Notamacropus eugenii: one gene and its partner. The protein of the gene in region 2 interacts with the protein of the main gene of each other region in a pairwise test. Links are inferred from orthologs where the notes say so. Each region holds a gene or a part of one and is shown on either strand. Other genes may lie near its edges.

What was found.
Region 1: the proteins of VAPA (region 2) and ADRB2 interact in a protein complementation assay, tested with the Homo sapiens proteins (2 studies listed by BioGRID and IntAct, with this or other methods). The link is inferred for Notamacropus eugenii from reciprocal best matches to the Homo sapiens genes VAPA and ADRB2.

The regions. Positions count from the first base shown.
Region 1 is NC_092872.1:409,722,707-409,730,080, forward strand, and holds the start of ADRB2 (beta-2 adrenergic receptor), read right to left. Parts: upstream 3,243-7,374; 5' UTR 2,954-3,242; coding exon 1,807-2,953; exon of another isoform or gene 1,032-1,806; intron 1-1,031. UniProt on the Homo sapiens protein: Beta-adrenergic receptors mediate the catecholamine-induced activation of adenylate cyclase through the action of G proteins. The beta-2-adrenergic receptor binds epinephrine with an approximately 30-fold greater affinity than it does norepinephrine.
Region 2 is NC_092875.1:233,202,407-233,209,896, forward strand, and holds the start of VAPA (vesicle-associated membrane protein-associated protein A), read right to left. Parts: upstream 3,043-7,490; 5' UTR 2,731-3,042; coding exon 2,652-2,730; intron 1-2,651. UniProt on the Homo sapiens protein: Endoplasmic reticulum (ER)-anchored protein that mediates the formation of contact sites between the ER and endosomes via interaction with FFAT motif-containing proteins such as STARD3 or WDR44.

The sequences.
Region 1 (7,374 bases), on a different chromosome or scaffold from region 2:
GTAAACAGCACACAGAAAATCTAACAGGAGGCAGTTTGTGGTGCAACAGGAAGAGGGCTACATTTAGAGTACGGAGAGTTCAGTCTGAATCTCAGCTCCAAGGCTTTGAGACTCTTGAGGAAGTTACTTCCCCTCTCTGGGCCTCAGTTTTTCATTAGGCAAATGGGGCTATGCCACATGAAAGCATGGGAATCCAATGAAGTAATGGGTCTGTAAAGAGCTCTGTAATTTTGATGGGCTATGTAAATGAGAACTATAAGTCTGATTATTATTGAACTGAACTGAAGTTTTTACTTGATCACAATTTTACTTCATCATAGGATACTAAATCTAGAGCTGCAAGGACATCAGAGGCCAGCTAATAATCCAGCCTCCTCTTTTTACAGATGAGGAAACAGAGGTCTAAGTTAGCTAAGTAATTTCACTAAGGTCACTTGGGTAATAAGTATCAGTGGGCACTTGAACCCAGCTGCTTTTTTCATCCCTCTTTCCACTGTACCACCATCTTCCCACGGATAATTTTGGAATAAAGAATTAATGGGAAATTGACAACTTCCCATTAATAATAAATAATAATTTTATTATTGAATAATCATTAAATATATTTACATATCAATAATACATAAATAGGTACACTAATGAGCAACATAAGCAAATCAGAGAAGCCTGATTTAGGGTAGAAGGATTATGTGAGACGTGTTTATTATAACATTCAATGCCAACAGACTTAAGCTATGTGTAAGTGTAATTCCAGGAAGTGTGGCATGAAAAAAGAAGACGAGCTAGAGCAAAAGCCCTGGGTTTAAGTCTCCATCAACACTTTGTAGCCATATGACCATAGGCAAGTCCCTTCCTTCACCTCCTGAACCTTGAGCTCCTTAATACAATGGAGATGATATTTCCCCCTATACACCTCACAAAGCTATGGAGAATAGCACTAGGTAAAACTGGTAAACACCACAGAAATGTGAGGTCTTATTGTTACTATTAATTCACCATTAAGTCACTGGACAGCTATTACAAACAGTTACCTGTGGTTTCCAACAAGAATGTTCCGCTGGGGGGATTTGGACAAACAGGTGTAATGATGTCACAGCAAAACAATTTATTTACTGTAAACTTTAGACTTTGCTCATTCAACAGCAGAAGCTGTCCCCTCTGTGTCCCTGCCTCCAATAGCCCATGTGAGCCAATAGGAGGATAAGACGAATCCATATGGACAGCCAGGTCCGGCTGGAGCATCCGCAAGGCCCAGGGGGAAGGCTTGCTCCTCCAGATAGATGTCCCAAGTAGAAGTATGCTAACCCTAATACTTGACAAATGAGGTAGATCTAGAAGAAAGTCATCCAAACTCGACCAAGTCCTCAAGGTCTGAGATCCTTGAAGTGGGATATACACTTCCAAACTCCATTCCAGGCAGAACCCACCTGTTACAGAAATGCAGAATCCCTAGAACTGGTGGGTGAGTTATTTTGTTTCCTGTTAACTTAAAAACTTAAAAAATAAATAGGCTAAGTCTGTCCTCCTCCACCTGCCCATCTCTCTCTAGGCTGACTAGACATTTCTAGCTCAGGAGTTAGAGTGTGCTTAGTATTTGAGTGTTGGTGACGAGTTGTTTTTGTGGATTGTTTTGGGGGGGGGGGAGGGTTGGTGGTTGCTGTTCTTTTAAAAAGTGGATTCTTTCTTTTTCCCCACCTTGCTTGGTTTGCTGAGGGTTTTTTACCAACCAGAGAGACAGTCACAAGGGGGTATCATCCAGAGTCTGATCCTGGCTCTCTAAGGTCGCGCTAGCATTAGGCACAGTACCTGCACAGTTCAAAAAGCCCTCAGTGCCTGGGAGGTCTTCATACAGCAGCTCGATCTCCTTCTCCTGCTCGGTGGGATAGCTCCCTCGCTCCTCGTTGGGCTCACTTCTCCCATTGCTGTTGCTGGAGTGGCCATTGCCATAGAGCTTCAGGGCTGACCTCCTGAAACAGAGGAGCTCCTGAAAGGCATATCTGAAGTCCGGGCTCCGGCAGTAGATCAGCGGGTTGAAGGCTGAATTGGCGTAGCCCACCCAGTTCAGAAAAATGTACACATATTTGGGGACAATGTTGTCCTGTATCGCATGGACAATGTTAACAATGAAGAAAGGCAACCAACAGAGGGTAAAGGTCCCCATGATGATACCCAAGGTCTTGAGAGCTTTATGTTCCTTCAAACAGAACTTGGAAGACCTTCGGTGACTTGTCCTTCCATTTTGCTCCATCTGGTTGCTGTTCTGGACATGAAAGCGGCCCTCAGATTTATCTATCTTCTTAAGTTGCTTCTTGGCCACCTGGAAGACCCGGGAGTACACAAATACCATGACCACCAGAGGCACATAAAAGGACACAATAGAGGAAGCAATGGCATAAGCCTGGTTAGTGAAGAAGTCACAGCAGGTCTCCTTCTCATAACATGAGAGAGCTTCCTGGTGGCTGGCACGATACCAGTGCATCTGAATGGGCAGGAAGGAGGTGAGGGCCGATACCACCCAGACCACTAGGATGACCACCCTGGCCTTGCCCTTGGTAAGCAGACTCTGGTACCGAAAAGGTGCTGTGATGGCGAAGTAGCGGTCCACAGCAATAACGCAGAGGGTCTCGATGCTAGCTGTGACACACAGAACATCAATGGAGGTCCAGAACTCACACCAAAAGTTCCCAAAGGTCCACATTTCCATGAGGATGTGACTGGCACCAAAAGGCACCACTGCCAGCCCCATAACCAGGTCAGCACAAGCCAGTGATGTGATGAAGTAGTTAGTGACTGTCTGCAAACGCTGGAACCTGGCGATGGCTGTGATGACCAGCACATTGCCAAACACAGTGGCTAGAACTATAATGGACATGACAATGCCCAAGCCCACCATCCACGCTTCACCCTTCTGAATGGTGGCGTTTAAAAAGCTGTGGCTCAAGTTGGCAGACATGACCCCCCAAGCTGTCCCCCCGGGGGGCGGGGCCGTCCCTGGAGGTCCACAAGCCTTGATTGAGAGTACCCCGCTGCCAATCTCTTCTTGGCAGGGGCTCAGCTCCCTGAGAGTCCCAAGCAGCTGCTCGCCCGACGAGGGCCCGTCATTCAGTCTCCGTAAGGTGCACAGGACCTCCAGGAACAGAGGGGAAGGAGGAAAGCAGGGCGCGCCCCAGTCTGAGGATCTGACCTTAGGAACAGCGAAAGCGGCAGCTTCTCGCAGCGAGCGCGCAGACTGCAAGTGCTCGGAGCCCGCTATGCGCCCCGGACTTCAGAACTTCGGTTGTCCCCCGGCCCGCCTCCATCCGATGACGTTATGTTACTTTCGGCCAATGGTGTGAGGGAGACCCCGCCCCTCCCCCCCTGCTGCTGGGAGTCCCGGCCCTCCCCGGAGCCGCACCTTATTCAGGGCGCGCTGAATGTGGAAGATCTGGGCTCTGGGTTTCCGCGGGAGCCCCAGGGGGTGCAGCTCTGCCTGCCCCGGCCTTGCAGACTGGACGCCCCGTTGGGAGTCAGCAGATCCCAGGAGACACACACATGTAATGAGATGCGGAGAGACAGTCACACACACAGACAGGCATACCGAGAAAAACGTTAGCGCACACAGACGCAGAGATCCAGAGAGAGAGACCGAGAAAGACATAGGTACACAGGCACACGCGAAGACGCAAGAACACCGAGTAACTCTAACCCTAATTATGTAACTATGGTACCTAGACACACACAGACACAGGCATACAGACACATGGGTACGCGCACCAAGAAACAGTTGTAAACATTGGGACAAAGACAGTGGCACACAGAGAGCAACAGGCAGTGAATGACACACACACAGACGCAGAAACAAACACATTCTCACAGGCACAAGCGCACTTCTTTTAGATTAGTTGAAAAACTGAAGTCTGACAGCGTAGTCAGTCAGTCAATCAACAAACATTTAATTAAGCGCTGTGCTACGCAATGAAGACACAAAGGGCAAAAGCAGTCCTCGCCCTGAAGGACATCATTTTCCGAGGAGGGCAACAGTACACAAACAGCTATGTATGTACAAGATATATATACAAGGTAACTGAAATGTGGGTGATCTCAGAGAGGGACAGGGTAAGGCTTCTTGTAGGTTTAATAACAGAGAAGTCCCTTTTTTGCAGGAAAGATGTTATTTATCCTAATCTCCATGGTCATTGCTTGAGCATGTAATGAATGTTACAATTCTTTTTCATCCTTAGGCTCACACATTTAGAGATGGAAGAGACCTCAGAGATCACATCTAGATCTTCCTTTCATTTTATAGATGAGGAATCCATGACTTAATGAAGAAATGACTCATTACAAAGACTTAGGCAATGAATAACAGAATCTGAACCCTCCTTCTTTTATTCCAAATCCAAGGAATCCAAATCCAAATCACTCCACTGCACCCCACTGAGTCCCAGAGAGTTGCGTTTATTTTCTTTTTCTTCTATTTCTTTTTTGGAGAGTGAAAGATTTGAAGGTGGGATAGAGGACCCAGGGAAACATGTTGTTTATTTTTAATGCAAAGGACAACATTTTTCTAGTCTGATTTCATTTTCTTTTCTTTTTTTTGCCTGATTTCATTTTCAAGTGAGAATACTTCAAGTTTCAAGGTTAAGTATCGGATTTATTGTACACTCACTCTGATTTCCACATGCACTTGCATTAGCATGATAGTCTACTCTGCACATCTGCACATAGTCCCATGGAGCAAATGTCAAAGCTTACAGATATCAGAGGGTGCCCACCTGCATCTGAAGAGAGCTCCTCCATTTGGGAGTTCCCTTTACCAATGGAATCACATGATCACAGGATCATAGGTTCAGTGCTAGAATAAACCTTAAAAGGTATCTATCAAGCTCAAGTCCCTGATTCTACAGATGAGGAATTAAGGTCCAGTGAGGTTGTTACTTACCTAAGGTCACAGGGTAGAAATAAATGGCAGAGCCAGGATTTGAAAAGAATAAAGGTACTCAGTAACAATAGCTAGTATCTGGTGCTTTACAAATTACCTTACATCCATTATCTAAGCTTCATAACAGTTCTATAAGGTATGTATTATTCCCCCCTCCCCCTTTTTTTTAGATGGGGGAATTGAGATTGAGAAAAGTTAGGTGACTTGTCTGAAATCACAGAACTAGTTAGTGGCAGAATTAGGATTTGAACTTCTGTCTTCTGACTTCAGATCCGAAATGCTTTTCACTACCTAACATTGGTAGCTATGTAACAACAGTTTTCATTTATTCGACACTTGATGATTACAAATCACCCCGTATCCATTATCTTCTTTGATCCTTACAGCATAAGGATGACAGCAGAAGCAGCGGTTATAATAGCCCTGAGGGCAAGGGAATGCAAATGTTATACCCACTGATGAGGAAACTAGGAAACTGAAGCAAAATGAAAGTCTGGACAACAGCTGTGGTGGATCTAGAACTTGAATTCATGTCTCTCGTAACAGAGTCTGGAATCACACACACCCCTGCATCTCTCCAAATGGTGTAGCATGAAGTTCCCTTTATAGCCACAGTAGATACTTTCCAAAGACTTTGGAGTTTATTAGAGGCAAAGTGGTGAAGCAGAGATTTGACCTCGGAAGACCCAGTTCAAGTCCTGCCACTGATACATACTGACCCTGGGCAAATTACTTAACATCTCTGTTCTAGGCAACTCTCGATGACTAGAAATTGCTAAAATAGTGCCCACCTGCATTTGGGAAGGAAATCTCATCTGGGGCTCTCCCTAAACCAATCAAATTGAAGATCTAATGCCCATCTACTATTCCTGTTGGTCTTATTATCTGGCTGAAGTACATGTGTATTGAAACAAACTTCCTTAGGGTATTTAGTAAAATCAGTTTATTAGATGATGCATGTGGGTGTTGTATCTAGTGCAAATTGGTCAGGCAGTCTTCACCAACACGCACTAATGTTCACATGAATAGCCTTCAGCGGGCACCTAATTTAAGTCCTTTATTTTACAAGTGAGGAAACTGAGGCACAAAGAGTCTAAATGGCTGGTCCAAGATCAAATGGGTAGTAAGTAGTAGAACTGAAATTCAAACCCAGGTCATCTGACCACAGATCCAGGGCTCATTCCATTGTACCACACTGCCTCCCAGAGGGAGGGGAGGAGAAGAGAGGGAAGGCAGAATTGTAAGTAGATCATAGACTTAGGGCTGGAAGGGATCTTAAAGGTCTTCTCCAACCCCCTCATTTTACAGATGAGGAAACTGAGACCTAAAGAGTTTAAGTGATTTGTCCAAATTTGCACAGGTAAGTCCCCTAGCGGTTAATTCCCTCCTTCTATTCATTGTAAGGGTTTAGATATAATATCTGTGTGTGTGTGTGTATGTGTGTGTGTGTGTGTGTGTGTGTGTGCATGCATTTAGACATTATCTCCTCCACCAGACTGTATACTCGAGTTTCACTTTTGTCATTGTAGCCCCAGCAGTTAGCACAGACTTGCCATTAAAATAAATCTTTAATAAAAATGTTGTTTGAGTGATTGTAAGTAGCAGTGGTTTGAACCCAGGTCCAATGACTCCAAATTCAGAACTCCATCCACTGGACCACATTGTAGTCTGTCTTCAAGGAGCAGAGTTGAGAAATAGTGTTTTTGGCAGGCAGCGATGCCTATTTGCACAGCTATTATAAATCAAGAAATTGTATGAATCGATGCAATAGCTATTTATTGAGAACTTAGTGTGAGTACATGTTGTAGTTGAAAGAGGATTGGATTTGGAGGCAGAAGACCTGGATTTGAGTCTTAAGCTCAGCTCCCTTCCAGCACTGTGGTCTTCAACAAGTCACTTCCACTCCCTGGGTCTCAGTTTCCTCAACTATAAACTGAGGGAAATGCACTCACTTGATTATCTCGAAGTGCCTTTTTAACTCAAAATCCTGTGATGTATAAAATTTGGCCAAGCTTGCACAACATGCATACCACATTCCTGTGTTTTCACATTGGACTGTAACATGAGGGATTGGGGGAATTAATAATGTTTGTTTTGTAACACCATTTCCTTAAAAAATGAAGTTCAGTCTCTCATTAGTTTCCATCTGGCTTACCGCAGCAACTTACTAATAAGACTTGCTATCTCCACCCTTGTGAATCCAACCAGGTGTCCAGTAAATCTAATCAAAAGAGGTTTAAAATAAAAAGAATGAGGGAAAGAGACAACTAAATGGCACAGTAGTTAGAGGCCTGGAATCAAGAAGACCTGTGTTCAAATCCAGCCTCAGACTTAGTTGTGTGACCATGGGCAAGTACCTTAATCTCTATGTGATTATTGTTATGAGTATAAAATAAGATAATATTTAGAAGCTGAGGCATCCAGAAATTCGGAGAAGACAATATTCAGGAAAA
Region 2 (7,490 bases):
AGATTTGCCTTTGTTAAAGAGAAGCTTCAGACTATCAAAAGAACTAAATATATGACATCTCAAAGGTAATCTAGCCTATTCTCCTCAGTTAGGTCCATTTACAGCATCAGTCCAAAATATATTTATCTGTGGACCAGGTCTACGGATTGTATAGCAAAATCTAGACAATAGGCTTTCTCTATTTTTCTTGGTGTCCAGTTAAACCAAACTGAACGCATCCATCTTTAATGATTAATTCTTTTATTGGAGTGAAGGGTACAATGTTTTCCTAAGTTTGAAAAATAACTTCTAAATGCTCAAAACATTTATGATTACATTGGAAGCACAGGTCCAGTTTTGAATGCATAAAAGATAAGCAAGGGCCTTTCACCTCAGGTGAGAGGGTCCCCTTTCTTCATCCCAACAGCAACATTTTCTCATAAGAAACCCTCCAACTTGGCCAATAAGGCAGCTTCTCACCTAATACTAATTTCCAAGACTGATGGCAGCACAAGAGACTTTATCTTGTATAGACAATATTATTTCAGGAACACAGGCTACCAAAGCAACAGGATAAAGTAAAAAAACATACATACAAAAGTATTCACCACTATAGATTACATCAAAATATTTTAACAGCAGGTGGCTATTGATGTAATTTCAGGCTTTCAGGAAAGGTCTTTTTTTTTAATTAAAACCATATGAATGAATACAATATACATAACCTGGTTCTTTCCAGAGGTGTCCCATAACTCCTCAAAACAATAAATCTTCTCATACTTGCCTTGAAACAAAACTCTTACTCAATTGCTTACATAACTTTTCTATAGAATCACAGAAAATAATCCAGTGTAAAAAGCCAAGCACTAGTTGTGTAATAGTATCCTAACACCAAAGCTTCATAAAACGAATTTCCTGGATGTATAAAGCAACTTTGCTATATTAACTTTCCTGTGATGAGTTGCTGGCAGGAATGCAAGTATTTTCCTGTTGGCCTGACACTTCCCAGAACATAACAGATTCATCACGTTTCATTTTACCCTTTGAAATACTTTAATTTTTTTTTAAACTAAACGGAATTTTTAAAATTGAATTTTTAAAAAGACATAGGACTTAACTATTTAACAAGGTTAAGTCATGCCTTAGATGTAACACCTAAAATATACTTCCTTGATCTTAATGCACAGTGCCTGTGACACCAATAACACTTAATAACTTTTTTCATTCATTCATTAAGTCCCCTAAACAATGTTTGATATCCCAAAGAGCACCTAGATTCCTACAATAATAGCAAACAGAAAATAGTACCGGAGACATCACCTCCAAGATAATTCTGCCCACTCTCACCAACTTAGGTCCATTTACAGTTTCAGGTATTTTTACAACTTTAGGCTCATTTATATCTATCATCTCTACGTCCCTGTCCCAAGCATTATCGCCTTTGACCCTCATTCGGACTGTGAGTGATTTCCTGTATTAACTTGGAAGTGATTTGTTCAAGGCCATAATGCGGTAAAAGGAGACACTAATGTTAAGATGTATGTCTCCTAAGGTCACCAGAAAAAAGACGTGGAAGAACCCTAGCCACTAGTACCACTTTAGCATTGAAGACAGCAGGTGGAAGGAAGACTACCTAGTCCAATGACACTCATCCTTCTTCCTCACTTTACACACGAAAGTAAGTGACTTGTCCAAGCCCACAGCGGAGTTAGAGGGAAGAGGACGACCAAAACTAGGGCAAGGCGCCTATAACCACCAGGTCCTTCAGATGCCAAGTCCTTTAAGAGCGTGATGTCTCCCCTCTTAAGGTATGGAAGAACCAAAGGTTCTGGTACGAAATTACTTTACAACAAAGCCTCTGAACTAAGGAGTTTTCCTAAGTTTCCTTTCTGACTTTCTATGGGAACCGCAAACCCTGGAACACAAATGGGCAGGCAAAACCGCACCAGCGAGGGACACATGCGCCCCCTCCCCTGGCGCACTACTTACAGGAGGTCAGCAAGCCCCCCGCTCCTCAGCCTCCCCCAGCCCGCATCCGGGCGGCAGAGCGGACCTCAGGACGGGGCGCCGGGAAGGAGCCGAGGGGCCCGGCAAGCCGCCCCGGCCCGAGCCCGCGGGAGCAGCACGCGCTACCCCCGGGCCTGGCAGGAGCCCCCGGGCGCACACGCTCCGAGGTCGCCTCCCTCGCCCGCCCCAAGAAAGCCCAACGAGCCCCCGGCGCAAGGAGGGAAGGTCAGGAACAGAAGCGACCGCCGCGAACCCAAGACCCACAAGCTGCCTCCCGGCGGGATCCCAAGATGGCGGCCAAGGCGCCTGGTCCCGGCACCCCGAGCTCGCTCGCCTTCCCTTCCCTTCCCTGGGCCTCGGCCTCCTCCGCCCCCCCCCCCAGCCCCCGGCACAAGCTGGGCGTGCGCGCGCGTGAAACTGAGTGAGTGGGAACGGGCGGGGGAGGGGAGCGGAGAGGAAAGGCTGACGCCGAGAAAGAAGAGAAGAAGCTGGGAGACGCGGACAGAAACACGGCGAACAAGGCGAGGGGGGCGGACGACGCTCCTTCCTCCTCGTCAAACCTTCCACCCCCACCGAAAAAAAAGGAAGAGGGAAAGCACCCCAAGAGCGGAGCCGACGGCCTAGACCTCCCCGCTCCCCTCGCCGAGGCCCACCTCGCTACCTACCTTTAAATTTGAGGTCTGTGGGCGGGTCGAGGAGCAGAATCTGCTCGTGCTTTGCCATGGCCCCGGCAGCGGCCGCCATCGGAGAGACAGCGCAGGGGGAGCGGGGGCGCGCCCGAGGCGGCGGTTTGCCCGGTGGGGGGGAGGGGGGTGTCCGGGGGAGGGAGAGTGGGAGGAGCCCGAGGTGGAGGAGAGTGGGGGAAGCGCCGGGGCTGTGAGAAGGGCACAGTCACCAGCCTGGGCTCACCGCTCGCTCGCTTCCTGCTCCAGCCAGCGGATCGGGCAGTCTGACGACCAGTCGCTTCCCCCCCCTCCACTAACAACTGACTCAACCCCACACCAGCCACCGCGGCCACGCGCACTGCGATCCTCGCTGCCCCACGTGACGCTCCTCTGCGTGCAGCGTGCGCGCCACCGCGGCGGCCTGGGCCTCCTCTTCGCCCGTCCCGCCCTTGGAACCTTAATGTGACATGGGCCTTCACGCGCCTGCGCGCTCCCGCGTGTTCTATAAATTTCTTGCAGCCCGAAAGCTTTGCTGGGACTCTTGTCAGTGGAACTGGAAATGTCGCGGCGTGGGGCGGGGGGAAGGGAGGGAAAAGGGGGCGGAGTTTCCGCGGGACTGAAGATGCCTGTGCTCAGAAGCAATCCCTTCCCTCCCCTATCCGCGGGATCTGGGAGTCCGCACGGAGGTGACACCTTCTAGGGTTGGAGCTGAGGAACGGATGCGAGGGAAACGACTTGGGGCAGACGCCTTCAGAAACTACGACTCCCAGCATACAACGTTCCAGGCGGGCGGAGTGTAGAGACCTAGCCATTGGGGGTGGAGCATGCTGGGAGTCGGAGTCTTCCTTGGGGCGCCCGATGCGCAGTGCACCTTGGAACTTGTAATAGCGGCAGGACCGGCAAGCCGACAGGCCGGCGGCGGGCGGGAAGAGGAGCAAAGTCGGTTGGACAGATGTTGGGCGGGGCGCATCGGCCCCACGCGAGGCTTTGGAAGCCTTCGCGAAAACCCTCTGGCTGATTCTGGAGTGCCAGGCACCCACCTCTTCCAGAGAAGGAACTATATATAATTAGATTTGGGGGTGGATGCTTCTTTTGGCGGTTTTGTTGTTTTGGGGGGGGTGGGGGAGGGGAGATGGAAAGGCCTTACTTCTAATCCAACACTTTGTATTCCGAGAAGGGCCGCAGTACTTGGTGTGTTGAAATATGCCTTATTGTCAGTGACGCAAAAACCAGATAAATAATACTAGCATTGAAAACACGAACGTGGCATGAAGCCAGGAGCAAATATAAATGAGGGTTTGATTAGGGGAGGTTCCCGGAGCACCAGCCTTTCTCCTCAACGAAATAGGACGAACTTTCCCATGTGCTATTCACGCGGTGGGGTCTCTGAATGTGATGGCAACAGACCGCAAAACTTTTTTTAATTGATGATTTAACAACAAAGATAAGACAAGGACCCTCAAATTTAGCACTGGGAGAGTGTGGTGGACTGTCCTAGGGTAATGCAGTGTTGTGGGGGTTAGCAGCTGTCCTCCAAGTAGTGGCTCGGTTTGTATAGAAACCAAATACCTGGCAGAACTGGCACCGTAATAATGCCTAGCCCCACCAGCAGAGGACTTGGAATCAATGCCTAAATTTAACAAAGGTAGATAGCTAAAGGGGGCCGCTACACCGGCCAGCTAGCGTGCAGGATATGGAGTCAGAAAGACCAGATCCCTCCTCGCAAACCACTTCTGTTTGCTTTAATCCACTGGAGAAGGAAATGGCAAACCACTTGATTGTCTTTGCCAAGAAAACCCTGTGGACGGCATTGGCAAGCTGTGGTGACCGGACAACAACAAAGCTAGCTACAGCTGCTAATGTCGCAGTTCACAGAAGGTAGAACTTTCCGTCCAAGATTCTCCTGTTCGTCTTGTATATGTAAATGCTTGTCTGCATGCTGTCTCTTTTCCCACCCCCTCAGATTATAAACTCTTTGAGAGTAGGGTCTGTCTTTTCCTTCCTTTGTGTCCTCTGAGTTTAGCACAGTGCCTGGCACTAGTAGGTACTTAATGCTAATTGAGTGCTTAGCACCCTCATAGAAGAGGTGTCACCTTCAAACTAAAGAAACAAACCCCAATCACATAAGGCCATTGGCCAAAATGAATGTGTCTTTTATTTATGTTTAACTTGTCAGTAACATTTTGCATTTGGAATCATTTGGGAGATATGAGAAACTCTGGCACAGGGCTGCCCATCGTGGCATGTAGGAATCAAAGAAGGTACTGTGTGCTCCATGAGCAAAGCAGAATTGCAGTCACTCAAAGTGAGATACACAAAATTTAGAGATATCTCCATTACAAATGTTCATATGGACTATTTGTGCCCTACCTGTGGTAAAGTCTTCCAAGCTTGCATTGGTCTGATCAGCCAGTCAGACACATTATACACTGACCCTGACATAGTGATGTCATTCTGGTCCACTTCCATTGTACAGTAATCAACATATGTCATCAGGGCTTGCCTGGCAGGTAGAAAAAGTCCTTGCTTACATGATTAGATTTGGGACCTCCACTTCCAAAGTGCCTTTTATTGGTCTGATGCTGATTCCTGGACATCCAACATAAGAATTTCATTCCTTGTGCTGTCACTGGGAAGATATCCAGAATTCCTGGGAAACATGCAGTCCCTGTTAAAGCTTAGTGTAAATTAGTTTTTCAGGAACTTTCCAAGAGATGGCATGCTGAAAACTGTTTTTGACAAGGAAGTAAGGTAAAGGAAAAAATATCTAGAGGATACATACACACTAACATAACTTTTAATGAGGCCAAGTCTGGATGAGTGCCATGGAGAAACCCAGGTGGAGCATGAGGAAGAAAATGGTATTAAAAGAAAAAGAAAATACTTTGGGTTAGGGTAGACTTTTGAGGTCAGCTATTTTTAAGGTGGGCAGCTAGGTGGTGAAATGGATAAAGCATCAGTTCTGGATTCAGGAAGATCTGAGTTCAAATCTACTGTCAAATTGAACTAGCTGTTCAACCCTGGGCAAGTCATTTAACTCCTATTTGCCTCCGATCTTGGTTTGTAAAATTGGGACACATTGAAGAAGGAAATGGCAAAGCACTCCAGTATTCTTTGCCAAGATATTAAGCAACAGCATTTTTAATGTACTATTAAGTCCTATAATATTTATATCAGTATAAAATTTATACAAATATATAATATATAAATAATATTATACATAAATATACAAAAATATAAATAATTGTTTCCAAAAGCCTAAGAGCATTTTCTCTATTTTGGAAGTATGATAGATTATTCAATCTCTTGCCAGAGTGACACCTTACAAAGTTTCAAATTAAGAATTTTTCTACAATAAATATAACTAAAAGAGTTTAGGAAATATTTCCTTGGCCATATTGGGACTAAATAAATAAAATAAATGTTACCATTGTTTGCTTTGAAATACTCCAATGGTAAACAAAGTTTTACATAAATTAACCTTGTAACTATTTAAATACTTCTTAAAAGTAGCTGAAATTAGTCTGAATAGTTTGTCAACATATTCATTTGCATAGGTGTCAGGTCTTACTGAAGAACCTGATATTCCACAGAAAGTATTAAGATTTAACAAAAATTACACTCCTACTAAATAGAAAATTGTTGATAGGAAACAGCCTTCTGTATTCATGCTTGTTCTTTAGCTTGTTGAAATTAGAGAGGCATTTATGAGGGCAAAATAAAATTACCAAAACTAGAATTTGGTCAAATTGCTGTGTACTAAAGCTTAGTGGAGTTTTTCCTTGACTTAGGTTGTGTCTATAGGATGCCACCATTTACAAAAAAACAAAACTTAGAGGAGAGTGAACTTTTTTTTCCATGTAGATCTAGGTGATCCTGTCAATAATCTTGTAGCAATGATTACAAAACATTGTGAAAGACAAGATGTTATTGTTCCCTTCCTTCCCTAGATACTTTAGGAAATTGCTCCCAGGTAATTTGAAGAGACCCCACCCCCACCCCCTGACGGGGGTCGGTCCTAGGCGCCTGGGCGGATAGGGGCCTCCCCGGGAGTGGCAGCCCACCAATCCGAGGGGGACACGGCTTCCATAGAGGAGTTGTGAGCCCACGGGATTGGTCGGGTGGGCTGGATCCAATCGGGTGGTAGGCCTCGCCCTCGGGGCGGGTTAGGATGGCAGCCCGGAAGAACCTCCCTATATAAGACAACGCCCTGAACTGCTCGTGGGACTCCTCCATGCAATAAAGCTATGAACCTCCTGCGCATTTCCTGATTATTGCCTGCCGCCGTGTCCCCCGGGGTAGGTCCGGAGACGTCCGAAGCGGTGCCCACCGAAGGGAGATTCTCACTCGAAGGTCCCGGGGACAGACCCGGGACAACCCCCCACCCCCCACCACCACCCCTGACTACCCAAGGAAAATTGTCCCAGGACCAAAAGACCCTTTAGAAAGGAAATTGGAAGAAAGTTGCTTACTGCTAGGTATTTCTATTTTTCTATAGACTTTACAAAAGCATTCATTATTGCTTTCCATAAACTGCTAAAAAACTTTATTCATGTTTTGAGTTTTGTGAATCCATGAGCTAAAAGGAGAGTTTTTAACTATACCCATGGGCTTGGGGAGGGGCACTGTGTTAGATACTGAAGTTTTCCAAAATCATCTCTTTGGTAACAATAAGCAGAAGTGAGAAATCCCCCAAAGTGTGCCACTCAAAAGTTACATACATATGGTTATTAACTGACCTGTAGGCATGATTAGCTGCAGTTGTGAGGCAGTATGTGACTATAGTTTGAGTCAAAGAGCAAGTGACCATTGCCGATTTCTCCCACCCCCTTTGTCTTA